3 linked regions of the Yarrowia lipolytica genome follow. The protein of the gene in region 2 interacts with the protein of the main gene of each other region in a pairwise test. Links are inferred from orthologs where the notes say so. Each region holds a gene or a part of one and is shown on either strand. Other genes may lie near its edges.

The links.
Region 1: the proteins of YALI1_F10115g (region 2) and YALI1_D09790g interact in a two-hybrid assay, tested with the Saccharomyces cerevisiae proteins (2 studies listed by BioGRID). The link is inferred for Yarrowia lipolytica from reciprocal best matches to the Saccharomyces cerevisiae genes SMT3 and TDP1.
Region 3: the proteins of YALI1_F10115g (region 2) and YALI1_E31075g interact in binary tests that used the Saccharomyces cerevisiae proteins (3 or more experiments, as listed by UniProt). The link is inferred for Yarrowia lipolytica from reciprocal best matches to the Saccharomyces cerevisiae genes SMT3 and UFD1.

What each region holds. Positions count from the first base shown.
Region 1 is NC_090773.1:974,952-981,313, reverse strand, and holds YALI1_D09790g (uncharacterized protein), read right to left. Parts: upstream 2,286-6,362; coding exon 870-2,285; downstream 1-869. Other genes in the region: YALI1_D09785g (uncharacterized protein), read left to right, coding at 2,552-2,642, 2,719-3,017; YALI1_D09766g (uncharacterized protein), read right to left, coding at 3,513-4,631. UniProt on the Saccharomyces cerevisiae protein: DNA repair enzyme that can remove a variety of covalent adducts from DNA through hydrolysis of a 3'-phosphodiester bond, giving rise to DNA with a free 3' phosphate.
Region 2 is NC_090775.1:1,008,886-1,014,281, forward strand, and holds YALI1_F10115g (uncharacterized protein), read right to left. Parts: upstream 2,680-5,396; coding exon 2,407-2,679; downstream 1-2,406. Other genes in the region: YALI1_F09996g (uncharacterized protein), read left to right, coding at 1-891; YALI1_F10110g (uncharacterized protein), read right to left, coding at 1,109-2,209; YALI1_F10122g (uncharacterized protein), read left to right, coding at 3,341-4,810. UniProt on the Saccharomyces cerevisiae protein: Not known; suppressor of MIF2 mutations.
Region 3 is NC_090774.1:3,105,480-3,111,476, reverse strand, and holds YALI1_E31075g (uncharacterized protein), read right to left. Parts: upstream 3,915-5,997; coding exon 2,790-3,914; downstream 1-2,789. Other genes in the region: YALI1_E31131g (uncharacterized protein), read left to right, coding at 1-2,347; YALI1_E31050g (uncharacterized protein), read right to left, coding at 4,826-5,997. UniProt on the Saccharomyces cerevisiae protein: Functions at a post-ubiquitation step in the ubiquitin fusion degradation (UFD) pathway. Has a role in the endoplasmic reticulum-associated degradation (ERAD) pathway.

The sequences.
Region 1 (6,362 bases), on a different chromosome or scaffold from region 2:
TCCAAATGCACGGGATGAAGAGATCGTCATAGTTCGGAGTGCGAAGCCCTACGAGAATGCAACGGGAATAGCCATAATGGGAAGCACCATTATATGGACGCAGTATTTCCGAGAGGTCTCCGTGTGAAGTCGTCTACATAATCAGTACAGTATGTACAAGTACACTCAAACTGTGAGGCCTGTCATATGTGTCCTTCTCTACAACATTAAACAATGGTCTATGATCGTCAGCAGCCCTTGAGACAGGGTCTGCCGGGATGGGTCTAGAGCCCGTGGGAGGGGACAGATGCCGAGGGTGGAGGTATACGGATGCTCTGGTGGGTAGGAGTGGAATGGCCGCATTGAGTTGGATGGTGATGTCGGTCTAAGTAGGTCATGGATAGTTGAAGGAGGTATCAAACAGTGTCGAGGAGTAACCCACACTAGAGACTATGCAAACGTTTACAGGTACCAACAGGTAGTGTCCAGAACAAAGCTCAAGGTGGTTTCTCTTCTATAGAGCGAATGGTCAACAAAGATCGTACGATAGTGATGTATGTCCAGATGCTCTGTTGCTAAGATTGGATGGTAACGACTAGTATATTGGATGTCTATTGTCTATCCATCTACTGTCGTTTATGGATTCAATGCGTGGACACTTCTGTTATTACCATCTGTCGATGTTCGTCCATCAACCAACCAGGTCTATTGTACTCGGACATGGTTGACTCCTTGAAGAGTTACTGTAAGCGACTGTCAATAGCAGCACATACACTCTTGAAATGGGTGTCGAGCCCGACTCCAGCTGGATTGCTCTCATTCGAATAGCCCTCCAATCTCCTACTCTAGTGAGTGCTTTATGGCATCAGGTCAACGGCCTCCTGTATCTTCTACAATGCTTCATGACTCCTCATCAGCTTCTTCTTCCCATCCAAAGTGACTACCCACGGAAACCCATTGGTGTCCTTCTCCAGATGATCGGCATTCTTGGTCCACGGCTCGTCTTTGGCACTGTAATTGGTCAAGGGCCAGTCGTAAGGAATAACTGAGTCTTTGAGATCGAAAACAGCCTTCCCAACCGCCTGGGGGAACAGCAAAACTCCCAGCTCCCACGACGGAATGCTAAACTTGGACTCTTTAGCTGCAGAAACTGACCCCCAGGCGTACTTGGAGATATTAGCCGAGGTCAAAAGCACCCATCGAAGCTTGCCAGCTCGTGTGAAACGCGTATACGTCTTGATGTGAGGCATGGCTCGGGTTCTGTGCTTGTTGTCGGCCTTCCACACGTTCATCCGCTCCTTCATATACGCATACTGTTTCCTATGGGTGTCGGATTCGTTCTTGAAATGAATAGACATACCCAGATCGTATCCATCAAACGACCGACGTACATTCTCAACCGTAGGCCACACAATTTGAGAAGCTGGTAGTCCATGTCCATCTCGGTCTCTTGGTGATCTTCCATCCAAAGCTCCTACCAATTGAGGAGTGATCCACTTGTCTGTGACTCCAAGAGAACCAATAGAAGAACTCTGTAGAACAATCGTGTCACTTTCTGAGCCCTCATAGTCACTCTTGTGATCCTCCTTGTGCTCGTCCAGCAAGTCTGCAACCCGTGTGAGTCCCCACTTCTTGTCCTTATGAGTTCCAGGAACAGATCCCACCACTCGAGCTGTTTCGGAGCTCCAATCAAACCGTTGCAGAAACTTAATCAACTTGGAAGTGGTATCTAGTTGGTATTCAGACAGGTATGCAACGAGATCAGTCTCAAACGTGCTTGTGGAGCCCTCCGTATTCGTCTTTCTCTTCTCCTTCACTTTCTGGCTCTTCCACACTCCCTGAGTCATGTTATCCCAGTCATGATGAATCATATTGGCGGTATGGATGACAACCTGGGCCGATCGTTCTCCCTTGTCCTCTTTAAAAAACAGCACCATCATTTTTGTGTGATGGGTTGCAAACAGATTCGACAGCTTGGCTCTTCCTACTTCAATGTTGTCGGCTATCGGGAGACTCTTGGCCTGTGCTCTGAAGGCTGCGATCTTCTCGCCACTAAAGTCGCCCATCACAAACCGACACTTGATGTTTGACATGGCATTCTTGTGAATATTATCGAGTACAAATGCCAGATCAATCATGAAGTTGAATTGCCACATGGCCTCGAGATGGGGTGATCCAATGAGGTCTTTGAGGTGCACAGATCCAGTGTTTTCCTCGTCGGGAAGCGCCGTGATGGCTGTTAGTTGTGTCCGGCCATTGTCGCTCTCACTCTCCACCTTCCGTCGCTTGACTCTGTCGTTGTCCATGGTGGGGGAAAACGAGATGCCTGCAGATGAGCTAAGCGAACCTTGTTGGAGGGGGAGCACAAGTGATTATTGGAGGCTGGAAGAGAGATATAGATACGCAGGTGTTTTTAATCAGATAATAAACCGACTAGTTCCCTGTTTACCGAAGTTCACACACCAGCCACTACCACAAATACTACATATGGTCTCCCCACAAATCTCCCCAACAATGGTGATATGCACCCATCTGCACCCAACTTTGTATTGCTACACCATCCCACCACGCCATGTCTGCTCCTCCAGTCGCCAAAGAAGATACTAACCCCGTCCAGGAGCTGGCTCGTACGCCCTACCCCGCCTGGATTATGTCCGGTCTATGTGAGTACCAAAAAAAAAAAAAAACCAAACAATTGAACCACCCAAACCCCAATTGGATGCCATCATGCTAACCCAGTGCTGGCTACCCTCCCTTACGCAAAGAACACAGTCAAGCCCACCAAACTGTCGTGCGCAGGTTTCGGACTGGTCTTTGCTGCCGGGGGATACATGATGCTGGACGACATCACCAACGGAGCAGGATTCACTTCGGCCTGGTCCATGCTGTACCTGTTGGCCAACGGGACTCGAAGTGTCACTGTGTTCCGAAAGCCCTGGCCTTTGCTGCTGTCGTGCCTGGCAGTTTCTAACGCTGGTCTTTATGGAGCGACATTCTTCTTCCCCAAGAAGAATGAAGTGCCCCCTAAGAAGTTCTAATTTTCAGACTCTAGGACTCTCGGAGTGCATGGCACAAGGGTATTGGACGAGAACGCATCGGATTTTACAGAAACCGCATTGGACCTATGACATTATACGCAGCTGCAAAGAACCTATTGCTTCTCGCCAATCGCCCAATGCTAAACCTGTAAAACCTGTGCCCAAGAAACACCTACTGATATAGCAGCTAATGAATTTCTTGTCCAGTTTGAACATATTGCTGTTTCCCTGTCGTAGCGCCTTACAAGTCATTTTGTATCAACTTTGCTTTACTACCTTCTCTGCCTGCTGTTCAGTCAAGTACAGCATCTTCACCCTCGGTACAGACCGTCTTCACCACCATGAACTGTATGTTTGTACTTGTAGTCTGTACAGTTCGTGATCATGTTAATATCATTACGGCTCGCCTACACTTTCTGGTACTGCTGAAGACGAATACACTATCCATTCATCCGCTTACACCTGTTGTACACGCAACACCAATCCTGATAACTATCACCTAATGGGTTTGTCATACCACACAAAATCTCCACATCCCTTGCCCTGGTATGTCTGGCCACAGGTCCAAAAGTACCCGCTTTTCTGTCCAGCAGCTTTCTTGAACACCGGCTTCAGAATCATCGGCTCTCCGCACTTGCATTGTGGAATCTTGTTGGGCGTAAACTCCTTCTTGTAGTGTCGAAACGTGAGAGAGAAACGCACCTTGCCTGCCCTCTCATGTAATCCAATCTGTTTGGCTTGAACGGGAATGATACTATGTTTGTAGGCCTCCTGGCACCCGGCATGCATGATCATGAGAGAATTATGCGGTAACAGAATGTTGTAGGTCCGTCTATCCCCATCCGGACAAGCCCCTTTTAGTCTGAAGATGCGCTCGGATCCCAGAGTTAACGCGGCAATGACAGGACGCGGCCCTATATACGTCAATTGATCACTATGAAACCCCACAGATTGAGACTCGTCAGCATAATAGTTGGCAATACACGCGTCACTAAGCCACTCTGCGGTCCCTTCCTTGTTTGTACTGCGTACTAGCTCCTGAATTCGATCTGAACACGCCTCCATGGCCTTGCTGTACTTTCTGGAAGTGTCGACAGGCTTTCCATTGTATCGATAAGTGTGTTGCGAGTACACGGACATGTCTTTAGTGTAAAAGGCAGACTTGTGGGGGGTTTCACACAGTTTGTCAAATAGGTAGAACTTGGTTTTTTCTTTCCAGCTATTGTGATCCTCCATAAGCTGGTCTAGTAGATTTTCAGCTTCTGCCTTTTCCAACACATTGTAGATCAAACTGCACGGTAAGGCAGCCTCGATATCTTCAGGGGTATATAATGTGAGGGGTTTCAGGGTGTTTGGAGACGATGAACAAGTTGTATTCGCTTCACTTTCTTTCTTCCTCTTTTTGACACCAAAAATGGCTATGGAAGCCTGTCTTTTGGGACTATCTATAGGACGAGTACTTGTGGTATCTTTGGTAGGTGTCTGTGACTGTCCCAAAAGCTCTTTCGCAGAATCGACATCTCCATTACAAGACACGAGAATATCCAGTAGCACTTCTCGAGACGCCAGCGGGTATTCTTTCTGCAGTTTTCGAAGCAGAGATGTTGTAGACATAAGAAATCAAGCTTGGGACGGATGCGTGATGTTGTGTTTAGCGGGTGTATTATGTAATGCAGATAAGACAAGGATGGGATGGGTTTTGTGGGAAGGGAAGAAAAAAATATAGATATTTGGAGGTCGATTATCAACGTTAATAATGTCTTTACTCCCAAAACTTGCACAGAAAATGGTTTTGTAGACATCATGTATTTTTTTTAGTCGAACTCTAAGTCGCCACTCTGAGTCAAGTAATTGGTCAAGTAAATTGTGGATTATTACTTGGTTGGTTGGTTGACTTAGGTCCCATATCTACTACCTGTGTAAGTACACACACGATACTTGGCTTTTACTTGACGGACTTCTGCAGCGCAGAGTCACCACCAAGCTAAGACCACTTCGAAGCACCAGAACGAACACCTCGATCCAGAAGACCAATATGGCTCCTGTACCCTGGTCTTAGCATGCTACTACTGTAGTACAAGTAGTACAGTAGACAGTAGACTAACTACCAGACTCAACCACCTGTATGTACAGTAGTAGTCACTGATAGCCCCTTCTGTTGAGCATGGCACGGCTAAAAAAAAGCCAAAAGAGCTTGTCGCTTATCTCACTTTGGTGGACTCTTGGCGCAACAACGAGACAGCACTCCTTCGATCGCATTTCTTCGATCGAGCCCCTGTGATTCGATCCCTTGAGTCACGTATTTTCGACGTGCGTCTGCAAAATATATAAAAAAAATAAAAAAAAGAATTTCATTCGTTGTCCGACAGGTCACACCTGCATGCGACCATGTGAATAATTTTTTCACCCTCGCTAAAAAAAAAACAGGGTATAATAAAATCTAATCGCAGCAACATTCATTGTGCTACGCTGAGTGGAGATGCTACGGCATGATAGCGTACAGTATCGTAGCTACTGTACTTGTAGGAGACCTAAAAATAGAAGACACGGCGTTGTTAGCCGAAAGACACAGCCGTGAGGTGGGAAACGCCAAACCGTCTATGTGCGTCGACATTGGACAATATGATTTCCCCTTTGGGACAGCGATACGCGTCTGAGCCTCCCTCCCCTCACCATGTGCTTTTGCTTTACACCACGCAGTAGGGTTGCGGTGATCGACACGGGTATAGTGCAGCTCTGATGAAGGTCACTGCTTGTTTGGGAAGTAGTCCCTTTTTTTTGTCATTGGCCGCGAATCAGCACCTTGAACTTTGAAACGCGTTGGTTGCTGTTGGAGTACGAAGCCACACAAGGCCCACACAACGACGCACTACCGGCGGGCCAAGAGCGGAGCGTTATGAATACGGAAAATATTGACACATGTTTGTGATGATGTTATGTTTTTTTGCCAGCAATCACGCCATTTTCGGTGGCGGTGTAGCATTGTCGACCGGCGGTTTTAAATACAATGGGCCCTGTTTGGAAGCCATACTTCGATTAAAAGTCTTTCAATTGCTCCTGTGAAAAACCCGCCCATATTTGCGTAATTATACTAAACATTACGTTTGGGCTTTTTGTTTGACATGGCGACTATCACTTGGGGTCCCTCCTTTTTCTCTTCCCGAGAGTGTTTGGGGGGTCATCGTCAATGCAGGCGAGATGCACTATTATTACGAGAACCAGAGAGTGATGGCATCCATTGCCAAACTGGTTTCCCGCGGTTCAGGTTGCTGTAGGCTCTTCGTCTTCTGTTGAGTGAAAAATTCTCACCGTTTTTTTCCCCGCCGGCGCCACTGCACGCTCCCC
Region 2 (5,396 bases):
GGTATCATGGACATCTTCTACGAGCCGTACCAGGGCTTTATCATGAATGACCGTCCCTCTGAGCTGGGTATTGGATTGGCCAAGGGCTCTCTGTCTTTCGTCAAGAAGTCTGTCTACGGTGTTTCCGACTCTATCTCCAAGGTTACAGGCTCCATTTCCAAGGGTCTGTCTGTGGTGACGATGGATAAGTCGTTCCAAAACCGCCGACGGGTCAACAAGACCCGAAACCGGCCCAAGCATGCTCTGTTTGGCCTCACCACGGGAGCTTCGTCCTTCTTTGACGCCTTTGCTTCTGGTATTGCAGGCATTGCAGAGGCGCCCATGCATGGCGCTGCCACCGAAGGAGCCGCAGGCTTCTTCAAGGGTGTTGGAAAAGGTCTGGTTGGCTTGCCCACAAAGACGGCCATTGGAATGTTTGATTTTGCCAACAACATCAGTGAGGGAATCAAGAACACCACCACCGTGTTTGATCCCAACGCCATTTCGCGAATTCGAGCCACCCGATATCTGTCTTATGACGGCATTGTTCGACCTTACAGTCAGACCGAGGCTGTGGGCCAGACCTGGCTCAAGCTGATCGACGGCGGCACTTTCTTCAATGACAAGTATCTGGCTCATGTGGAGATTGCGGGCACTGAGAAGGCCGTCATTCTGACCTTTAACCGAATCATCATGTTCCACACCGTCAACATGGAGAGCTACTGGACCGTGAAGCTGGAGAAGATTGACACGATCACAATGGAGAAGACTGGCCTTGCTCTCAAGCTGCTGGAGGATGTGCCTGGTCCTTTTATTCCCATTCCGGATCCGTCCAACAGAAAGTTCTTCTACCACAAGATTGCCGTGGCTGTCCAGGAGTTCAACATCAAGCATCAGACGCTGTTGGTTTAGGAGGAGAGAGAGAGGGAGTAACAGGGAGGAGAGAGGAGTGTGTGGGAAGGATTTTGTTATGAATATTGTGTTAATTATGTTATATGAACTTGTAGTGTAGCTGGAATGTACAGTAAGTGGGCGCAACTGAGTTAACATATGAATATAGTTCCAACAGGTCGTTATTTTTTTATTTTATTTTTAATACTATATACAATGTCTCGTGCTAGTTGGCGATTCACTCTCCATTTTGAAATTCCTCACTCTTGGCTCTCTTCTTCTTCGAACCAACACATCTTTTTTCAAACTTGTCAGCATCCTCCACCGCCTGGAACTCCACCTGTAAAGTGGGACAAGACACGACTCCATCTACAGTATTGATGAGCACCGTTCGATCGACAAGTTTATGTGTTCCAGGGGCCCCAAAGGCTTCAATGCCATCCACCTTCTTCAACTCACTTAGTAGAACTCTCAGCAGCTTCTCCTGAAACTCTGCCTTGACTTGTTTGCGCTCCTCAAATAACTTATGAGTGTACAACGACCCCAGCGTGTTGCAATACCGCTCCAACTTGTCGGCTGTATCCACAGACCAATCAATGGCACGCATTTTTGACGTTACGTGTCCAGCATAGACGTCTGGACAGCCTGATTTGACCTCATAGCTCGAGTCTGTGAAGTTTCGATCTTTGATTGTTGAATAAAGCAGTTCCGCTCCGGTGTCTGCCAGGGTATCTCGCAGAGACTCAAAGGTGCTATCTCGAGTGATGGGGACTTTCTCTGAAATAGCCACGACTCGTCCTCGGTCGAATTTTGTCGGATGCAGTGTCTGGACTGTCACTCCGGTCGTCTTGTCTCCATTTAACAGAGCATGGTGAATAGGAGCAGGTCCATGGTATTGGGGTAGAAAGGAAGGATGGACATTGAGACCGCCGTACTTTGTGTTTGCCAGAAACTGTTGGGGAATCAAACCTCCATAGCTGACAGCAACTACGAGACTGAAGTCATTGGGCAGAGCATTGATCTCCGTCTTGTTGTCTGCCCGAAGCACCGTAAGGCCGTTCTCTACCGCGAAGTCGGTAATAGGCACATCTTTGAGCTCCTTGAGACCTCGTCCAGCTCGTTTGGGCGGTTTCGTAACGACTGTGACGCTCTCAATGGCACTAGGGTCCTCCTTTTGTAGTTGGAGAACCGCCTGTAATGATTTGATGCTGAATTTGTCACTTCCAAAATATGCGATTTTGAGCGCCTCATCACATGGTGCTGAAGTGCCGAACGTCCTCGACAGGCCACTCCATGTGGCTCGAACAGCTCTAGCCCTCAATGCCCACGTTTTCATCATGGTGTTGAGTTCAAGTTTACATACGAGTCCTGTATTCGTATGTACGCGTCTCTTTAATACAGCAATTATGTACTAGTAATCTGATTACGTAAAGCAGATTTTGGAGATGGAACGAGATATATTGCGACAATTTCTACGCGCTCAATATTAAACAGCTATCATACACTTTACTAACAATCTACCAGTTAATATCCCGCTTAGCAGCCACCAAGCTGCTCCTGGTGAGCCTCGATGGTGTCGCCGTCCTCAATCTGCAGAGTCTCGGGGGTGTCAGTGTCGGTGACTCGCTGGCCGTCGTAGAGGAAACGCAGGGAAGACTTCTGCTTGCCCTGTCGCTGGCAGAAGGCGTCGATCAGTTTCTTGAGCTGTGTGGACTTCTTGATCTTGAAGAAAATCTCCGACGACGAGTCGGTGACCTTGATGTTGACGTGCTCGGAGCTGTCTACCTTGGGCTGTGTTTCCTCAGACATCTGCTGCGTTAGTTTACGAGTGGACAGAGGTGCGTTTCTCTCTGGTTTGTGTCACGTTCGGTACGTCACGTTCACCGTCTCGTGTTGTGCAAGTGCAACTTGAGCGTGGCTGCAAGGCTGAAGCACTCAAAGTGGAGCATACAAGCTCAGTGTATATAAACACACGTACGCCCGCTTGTACTCATTTCTCCTGCACCTTGTCAGCGCCTCTGTTACTTCATCTTTGCCACCATACTCACTTTTGATGTTTGTGTGTAGTTGTGTGATGGATTTCGTGGATTGCACAAACTATGATTGTGAAAGCCGCGACTTCAGGGCTAGGGGTTCCGAAAGGGGCAACTAGATTTGAGCAAACCGGTGTATAAAAGGAAATGAGATGAAGAATAATATTTGCAGCTGAAATCGACGAAAAAAGGAGGCCCGATCATTGGAAATCTATTGTAGGACATAGAGAGGACCTTGGTTACTCACCGTTGCATCCATCTACAGCCATGCTTAATAAGCAAATAAACCTCCGCTAAGCTCACCTCTGAAGGGTTTTTCTGACGAGCATGGGACGACAGACAGGACCAGCCACAGGGACGGGAAGAACCGCATTATTCACGAAAAAAACCCGCCAATTTCGAACCCCAAAGACATTCGACACACTCAATCACGGCCCATGAACTGGCTGAGAAAAATCAGAGTGTTTATCTGGGGAGAGTACAAGAGCACGGCCGAGGAGGAGCACCTGTTGCGCAAGATTGACTGGTTTGTGCTCTCCTTCTGCTGTCTCATGTACTTTACCAACTATCTGGATCGAGCCAATTTGTCCAATGCCTTTGTTTCGGGCATGCGAGAGGATCTCCAAATGTACGGCCGAGAGCTCAACATCGCCAACACGCTCTTCACTGTGGGATACACGGTGGGTATGATCCCCAACAACCTGGCTCTTCAGGTGTTCAAGCCCCGGTACTACTTTCCCTTCTGCACCATGGCCTGGGGCCTATTGACTCTGGGCACCTATGCTGTGACCACATACAAGCAGATCTATGCCATTCGTTTCTTCCAGGGCTTTTTTGAAGCGTCTACGTTTGTGGGCACCCATTTCATCCTGGGATCGTGGTACAGTGGTAAGGAGTTGGCGAAGCGAACCGCCATCTTCACATCATCAGGGCTCATTGGCACACTCTTCTCTGGTTTTCTGCAAAGTGCAGTGTTCAAAGGACTCAGTGGGAAAGGAGGACTAGCCGGCTGGAGATGGCTGTTCATTATCGACGCCATCATCACGTTTCCCGTGGCTCTCTATGGCTTTATTTTCTTTCCAGATACACCAGCGACGACACAGGCCTTTTATTTCGACGAGAAGGAGCGCCAGATGTCTGTCATGCGACTCCCGCCACGCCCAGACACAAAACTAGACTGGACAGTTGTCAAACGGGTGCTTGGACGATGGCACTTTTACATGTTTGGGCTGCTATGGGGCATTGCGGGCGAGGTGGAGTCTCCTCCAGCCAACAACCTGTTTGGACAGTATCTCAAGGCTTCCGGGTGGAGTGTTATTGAGAGTAACAGGTACCCGATGGGCGTTTCTGGAGTCGGAGTGGTGGCTACTGTAGTGGCTGCCTCGTACGTGGATCAAACAGGCAAACACTGGCACGTGGGGGTAGCTGCCGGCCTAGTGGGGATCGTTAGCACGGTTCTGGTGCTGGTGAACCGTACCCCGACCGTCTTTGCAGGCTACTATCTGTGTGGATGTGTCTACATGGTACAGGCAGCGTTTTTCGCCTGGGCCAACGTGGTGACAGCCAACGACAAGGAAGAGAGATCGGTGGTGCTCGCCTCTATGAACATGATCTCCAACGCCACCAACGCGTGGTGGATGGTGGTTTTCTATGGAGCCGACACCGCGCCCGAGTTCCGTCTGGGTATGTGGGCCATGCTGGCCGTTAGTATAGCTCTGATCGGCTGGGTTTCTCTAGTTCGATGGTTGCAGCTGAGAGAAGACAAGCGGGTGGACTTGCACGGCAGTGGAGACGAATCGACAAGTACAGACTGCGGCGATCACGAGGAATACGGCTCCAAGGCGACACGTCTCGACTCGCTGCCGCCGGCGGTGCGCTGCCGGTCACGTGACGTGTCCGCCTTCTAGTCTACGAGCAGTGGGGGTTGATGCTGGGTTCCCATGCGTCCATGTCTACTGTCCCATTGTTGGACTGTTTACCCACCCACTCACCCACCTTGCGCACCTGACTACCCCACACAACTCTAAAGAGTCTCTCATCTTGGAAGCAACTTAGGGTTGGCGGGTGAAGCTCCAGCCTTGTCATTTATTTGCAGTACTCGTACAGTCAAGGTGAGCCAGAGCATATCCGTGTATATAGTTATTTATTACCATGATTGAACAACAGAACATAGAAGCGACCATTACTTGCACTTATACTGGTACTTATGTACTGGTACTGGTACTGGTACCTGGTACTGGTACATACTGTACAGTAGCAATTGTGCGGATTCCGAATCGGGCGGAGCAATCACAACCACGAGCAAATCCACAAGGCAAGACAATTTCCGCCTTCCAAATCAACCCCAAGGTATGTACTTGCAAGGAGGCCCGTATTGTACGACTTGTATCTCTCGTTCAGTACACTCGTACTCACGGTACCCCTCACCTAGCCCGCCGCCTCCCAGACCAAACTTTGGCCACTATTATCAACACCCCTCTTTGGCCTGGTCTA
Region 3 (5,997 bases), on a different chromosome or scaffold from region 2:
TATTTTAGGCAAAAAGCGACTGTGGTCGGCGATGTTCGAGAACAGAAAGAGCTTCTCCAAGTACTTTTTCTCGCGATCAGATGACGCCAGAAACGACGGAGATAACATTGAAGGACACGATGTCTTGACATTCACACAAAACCTGGAGACTAGAGAAGCTGCCATCACACGTCAAATGTCCAACACTGACCAGCCCAAGGATCTGAAGGAAGCCCAACCTGCTTCTGAGAAGAAAACAAAGGAATCGCATTATGTGCGGTTCCGCAACAAGTGGAAAATGTTTGATTTATGGATTGGAAACCACATTGCCAACATTATCGAAGTCACTCCTGCAGAAGAGAAACACTGGAAATTTGCTCTCAAAGTGACAATCCCGATGTTTCTCGTATCCTGGCCCATGTTTGTGCCTTCCATGCGGCTGTGGTACATCAACATGCGAGGCTCTTGGGTCGGTTTTGTGGTTGCCCTGGTTACGGAGACGACTCTGGGAGGCTCCGTTTTCATTTTCATCCTCCGAACAATCGGATTAACTATTGGGTCGGCTTGGGCTGTTCTGGCCCATACTGCTGGACGAGGTCACATTCACTCAGTTATGGGAGTGGTCATGGCTGTCATCTTTATCCCTGCCCTATGGTTCATGTTGGCCACCAAATACTTCAAGGGAGGCATGATTACGGTTGTGTCTGCTAATGTGGTCCTTCTGGCCACTCTATACCCTACGACTACAGGTGGAATTGTCACCAACTTTGCCAAACGAACTCTGGCTATGATGATCGGAGGAGGAGCGGCTCTATTAGGACAATTATTCTTATTCCCAGTTAAGGCGCGAGAAGAGCTCGTGGTGGTGACCGTCCAGGCGATCAGAGAGTGTTCTCGAATGGAGAGAATCATTGCTTACGGCTTTGACGACCCTGCCACTGCTCAGAAGGAGTTCAAAAAGTGCGCTAAGGTCGCCAGAGGTTCACTTACAGCTGCAGCGACCTTCAGAACTTTCACCAAACAGGAGCCTCGTCTTAAGGGCTCTTTTGAGGAGATTTCCAAGATATTTGGCGAGATCATTTTCGTGACTCGACAGATTATCGACCGACTGGAGAACATTGTCTTCTTACGTCAACAGTATGGATCTGTGGTTCTGGACGAGTATGGACCTGAGGTTCTGGCCTACCGACGTCAGACTGCCGCTGCAATCACCACGACTCTACGTGCAGTTGAAGCAGCTCTTCTGAATAAGACACCCCTGCCTCAGTATATGCCCAGTGCTCGTTTGGCGCATCGACGGTTTGTGAACCGAGTTCGAGAGGTCATGATCACACGACTGAGCCAGAACAAGCATCATCATAGCGTTCCCAATATTGGAACTCCAGCGGTAGGTACACCTCGTGACACACCTCGAGAGACCCCCCGAGAAACCCCTCGAGAAACCCCCTTGGCCACTCCTCTAGGCAATCCTTCGCACCCTGAGTTATCTTCTCGAGCCAGTCTTCCCAATGTTCATACTGGGTCTCCTAGACGATGTTCGGAAGGAGACACCACTCGAGAGAAGGCTTGTGTTCCTGATTTGGTGGTCAATGATACAGACACACCCCATGCTCTGCACCACAGTTCTGATGACACTTCAGACTCGGATGACTCGTCTCAGGAGATTGAGATTGTGCCTCGAGCCCGAACACAGCAGCAGCAGCAGCAGCAGCCACACGACTACCTCCAACATCGAGCCGTCGTGTTGCAGCAAAAGTTCATGTCGTGGAGTGCGACTTCTTCGGCCGTGGAGGAGGTCATTGAGTACGTGGAAGAGTTGGCTGATCTCACAGCGCTGCTTGTGGGTGTCAACAAATTCAAGTACGGCTTTCTTTCGCGTCCCATTTACGCTGAATGGGCTGCTTCGGCAGCTCGTGCTTACGACGAGGTTCTGGCTCCCCACGATCCTCTCAAGGCTGACAACGACGATGAAGAACCTGACGAGACACCCCATGAGCTACGAACGGCAGCTGATCATACTCCAGACATTCTGGATCGAGATCATATCCCAAGAGGCCTTCGAAAGCGGGTCTTTTCTGTCGTGGAACACAATGGACAGATCTATGGAGGAGGCGAGCACCAGTACAACATGGTTCCAGGCATGCCTGCAGTTGACCGAACGACTTCTAGACAGTCTCAAAAGTCAAACAAGTCGCACTTATCGCAGCCGGTTGCTCGCAAGACCTCCAGTAATGCCTCCATGCCTCCTCTTACACGACGGCAGTCTATTCGGTCTGTGGTTGGAGCTGTCAATGACAGTCCGGAGCCCGAGAGTAAGTACTTGACATTGAGACGGCGAATGGGACGCAAGATTAACAAGAAGCATTAGCATAATTATTTATTTGTTTTGACTATATGAGCATGTAGATGCCATTGTACAAGTAGCATGCCTGGGTTGTGGAGAGCAAGCCCACGAAGATGACCCAAGTGACAAGATGATAGTGAAAAAAATCTACTGTAGTGCTTCTCGTCCACAATTTGAAGCGATACATACGCATACTTACTGTAGTACCCCCAGTACATCGTATTTATTGTACAGTATTACGTATGTACGATACACTCAGCCTTCAAGGCGTTTCAGTTTCGTAGTTTATATATTTACATTTTTTAAATCAAGTATATATTATTTACAATCTACATGTACAAGTATGAGTATTACCATTTACTTCTCCTATTTTACTCATTCAATATAATAACTTGGGTTGGTTGCCCAACACATATAAATACAGATATATAAGTCTGCCTCTAATCCACAGCCGTCTTGGCCATGGTTAATCAATGACCACCATTTCGGGACTGGTGGGCTTCTTGGGGGTTCCTCCCGCAGCTCCAGCCGACGAGTTGCGCTCCTTGCGTTTTCGACTTTCTCGCAGACTCTGGCCTGTGCCCGAAAAGTGGGGCTGTTGCTGCTGCTCCTCGGTCTGTGTCTCTTCGTCTTCAGAAGGCTTGACAGGCACTAGGGGGAAACCAAAGAATAGCTGCCCAAAAGGGAGACGTAAAGGCTGGGGGTTCGCGTCTGTGTCTGTTGATCCCAGACCCACGAGCTCCTTGAAGTGCTCGTCGAGGGAGGCCTCTTCTTCAGGCTTGACGGCTTTTCCAGACAGCTTCTGGCCGCCACCGGAAAAGGTGTTTTTAGAAGCAGACTTAATGGTCTGTTGGGCGAGCTTCGAATAACCAATAGACTGGGCCATGGTTCCCGCGGCTGCCATTGGTGCAGGAGTAGAAGATCCACTGGTACCAGGTGTCTTGATGGCTCTTCCGTAATTGGAGTCACTCTGGGTGGAGGGATCCACGTAGCCCACCGGAGGCGCAAAGTCAACCTCAATGTCCGTCTCCACACAGCACACCGAGTGCTTGTCCTCCAGGTCGGGCTTGACCTCCAGCACCTTCATTCCATATGTCTTGTCGTTGTAGCTGAACTTGAACACGTCTCCGACTGTGAGGGTCGAGAAGTTCTGGAATGATCTCTCCAGCACTGCTCGGGGGTCGGAAATGTCCAGAAAATCAACGCTCTGGGGTTCAAACTTGACAAACTTACCCAGTGGCAAATCACAAGACGAAATTTCCAGCAGAGATCCAGGACCCACATCCAGAGTCTCAATGATCCATTGGGGCAAGTAGACGCGGCCCTCCTCGGCAATGAACTCCAAAACGCCACCGTACGTCACATTGTCGTTCTCCTCGCTTTTGAGCTGGAACAACATCGGGTACGAAATGTGCAGCATACTGAGCTTGGAAAGTGCCGAGGGAGGCAAAAAGATCTTGCCACCGTAGTTGGCAGACTCTCGGTCCTTACCGGGCATCATGGCGATGGGGTAACATCGGTAGTAGTCCTGAAACTTCTGGGTTCGGTTTCGGAAAGGCGTGGCGCCCCATTGTGCAGTTCCTCCAAACATGATGTGTGTTATCAAAAAGAAGGGTCCGATGGTGAGAGCTATGATCCAGAGTTTGGGGCTGCATATGACGTAGAGGTGTGCATACCACAAGTAAAATAAGAAAGTGGGTAAAGTGGCAAAATAACGGGCTGAAGACTCAAAATCAGAGAACCAATTAATCTGTGTATGTGGCGAAAAATCAAGTTACATCAAGTTACACTCCCGGCACCACTCCGTTAGGCAAAAAAAAGAGAGCTGGGAGGTTCGAACTCACGCCTCTTTCGACACTAGAACCTGAAGCTAGCGCCTTAGACCACTCGGCCAAACTCCCAAACAAGCTTAAATTAAACCTTATTTCCGTGGGGCATTTTCCCTAGAATAAAATGAATCATGAAAAATGAATCATTAGAATTAAAAAAAAAATTAGGAAAAAAATAATCTCACCCTCATCTAGAATGAAAAAAAAGCGCTGTCTTTCCTTAGTTCAAAATAATATAAAGAAAAACTGCAAGTTGGAGAAGTTAAAAATGGACGTTTAGAGGTTACGTAAGTGAGGTATGTACTATTTGTGCAGTATGGCTAATCGAAGCTGAGCCTTGCCAGCTTCCCGTTTAATACTCTCTATCCACCAATATTTCCCGTTGAGGTCCTCAATGATTTGTTGCGTGCGAGCATGTGAACCGTGAGCAACTGCGAAGACACTGATGAACACAGCTCAAATTCATCAATTTTTAGTCGCGCTGTAACGCCTTCGTATCCCCATCAGTGACTCACTCGTAATCCACCCCTTCAATTAGTATTATACTCAATAAATAACATATATACGGGTCTCCTTCAGACATCATCCTATCGTACACATCATCTTCGTCGTCGTCATAGTCGACGACATTTCTTATTCGTCACTCTTTTCGGCCCCTGTCTCTCGTCATCGTCTAGATAAATCCAAAATCCTCACCCTGTAACTGACTGGGTCGCATGTACTGAATGACTCCTCCAACAGTCTCATCAGCAACACCAATTGTCAACTGCTGGTACTCGCCCAGCGAACACGACTGAGTGAATCTGACGCCGGCGGTGCCTCCAAAGAACTCGATCGTCTGTCTGGACGTACATTCCGACCACGTATCGATAACAGTCACGTAATCGACCGGCTCGGCAATAGCAAGATATCTTCCGGAAGCATCAAAATCCACGGACCGAATAGCTGCCTGCAACTTTCCCGAAACGGCGCCGATGCATTGGTTGGACGCTCCTCGGATGTCGTACAGACGGCAAGTTCCGTCCTGGTTGCCTGTAGCCACTGTTTTGCCATCGGGAGACCAGGCACATGCAAATCCGAAGTCCGTGTGACCCTGCAATGACATTTGCAGTTTACCCGATCGCGAGTCGTAGACGTGCGACTCCTGCGAGTCACAAGCCATGACGCAGACATTTTCCGAGCCTGGGAGAAAGGCCGTAGCATTAGCAGCATAGTTGAGTGTAATGGAGTCTTTTGCCTTAAGAGTGTTCAGGTCCAGAGTCCGAAGAACGTTGTCGTTGCCTGATATCAGGGCTGAAGAGGACAACAAGGAGATGTAGTTGACCTGTAGTTCGTTACCAGACGATATCATGCCCGAAGAGAGAAACGATTTCTTTTCTGACGACGACGTTTCAGCCAACGGTTTCACCACAAACACGCCCTTTGTGCTTCCCAGCATAACCACGTTCCTGTTAGCTGCTAAGGCGGACACTCTCAATTGCTGGAGAGATGGGTCACACATTTCAGGTGATATTGCGACCGTCTGTTCGCCCGTTTCTGGATTGAGCATATCCACCTGGAAGTCATCCATATGATTGGCATTGTAGAAAACCTGCGTGGCTGAAACGGGATACATCAGGTTTCTCAGCTGGAAATGGAAAAGATGGGGTTTGGGGTTAGTGAAGCACCGCTGGAACGCCATGAGTGAGTGCTCGAAGCCTTGAATCGTTGGAGATGCGCTAGGTGGCGGACGGTAAGCCGCGTAGCGCTGGTATCTGAGTTTGCGCACCAGAGCCTTGTGGGTTGCCACGCTTTCACATACTCCGTCGGGGATGAGAAAGGAGCCTCTTCGGGACGACTCAAACA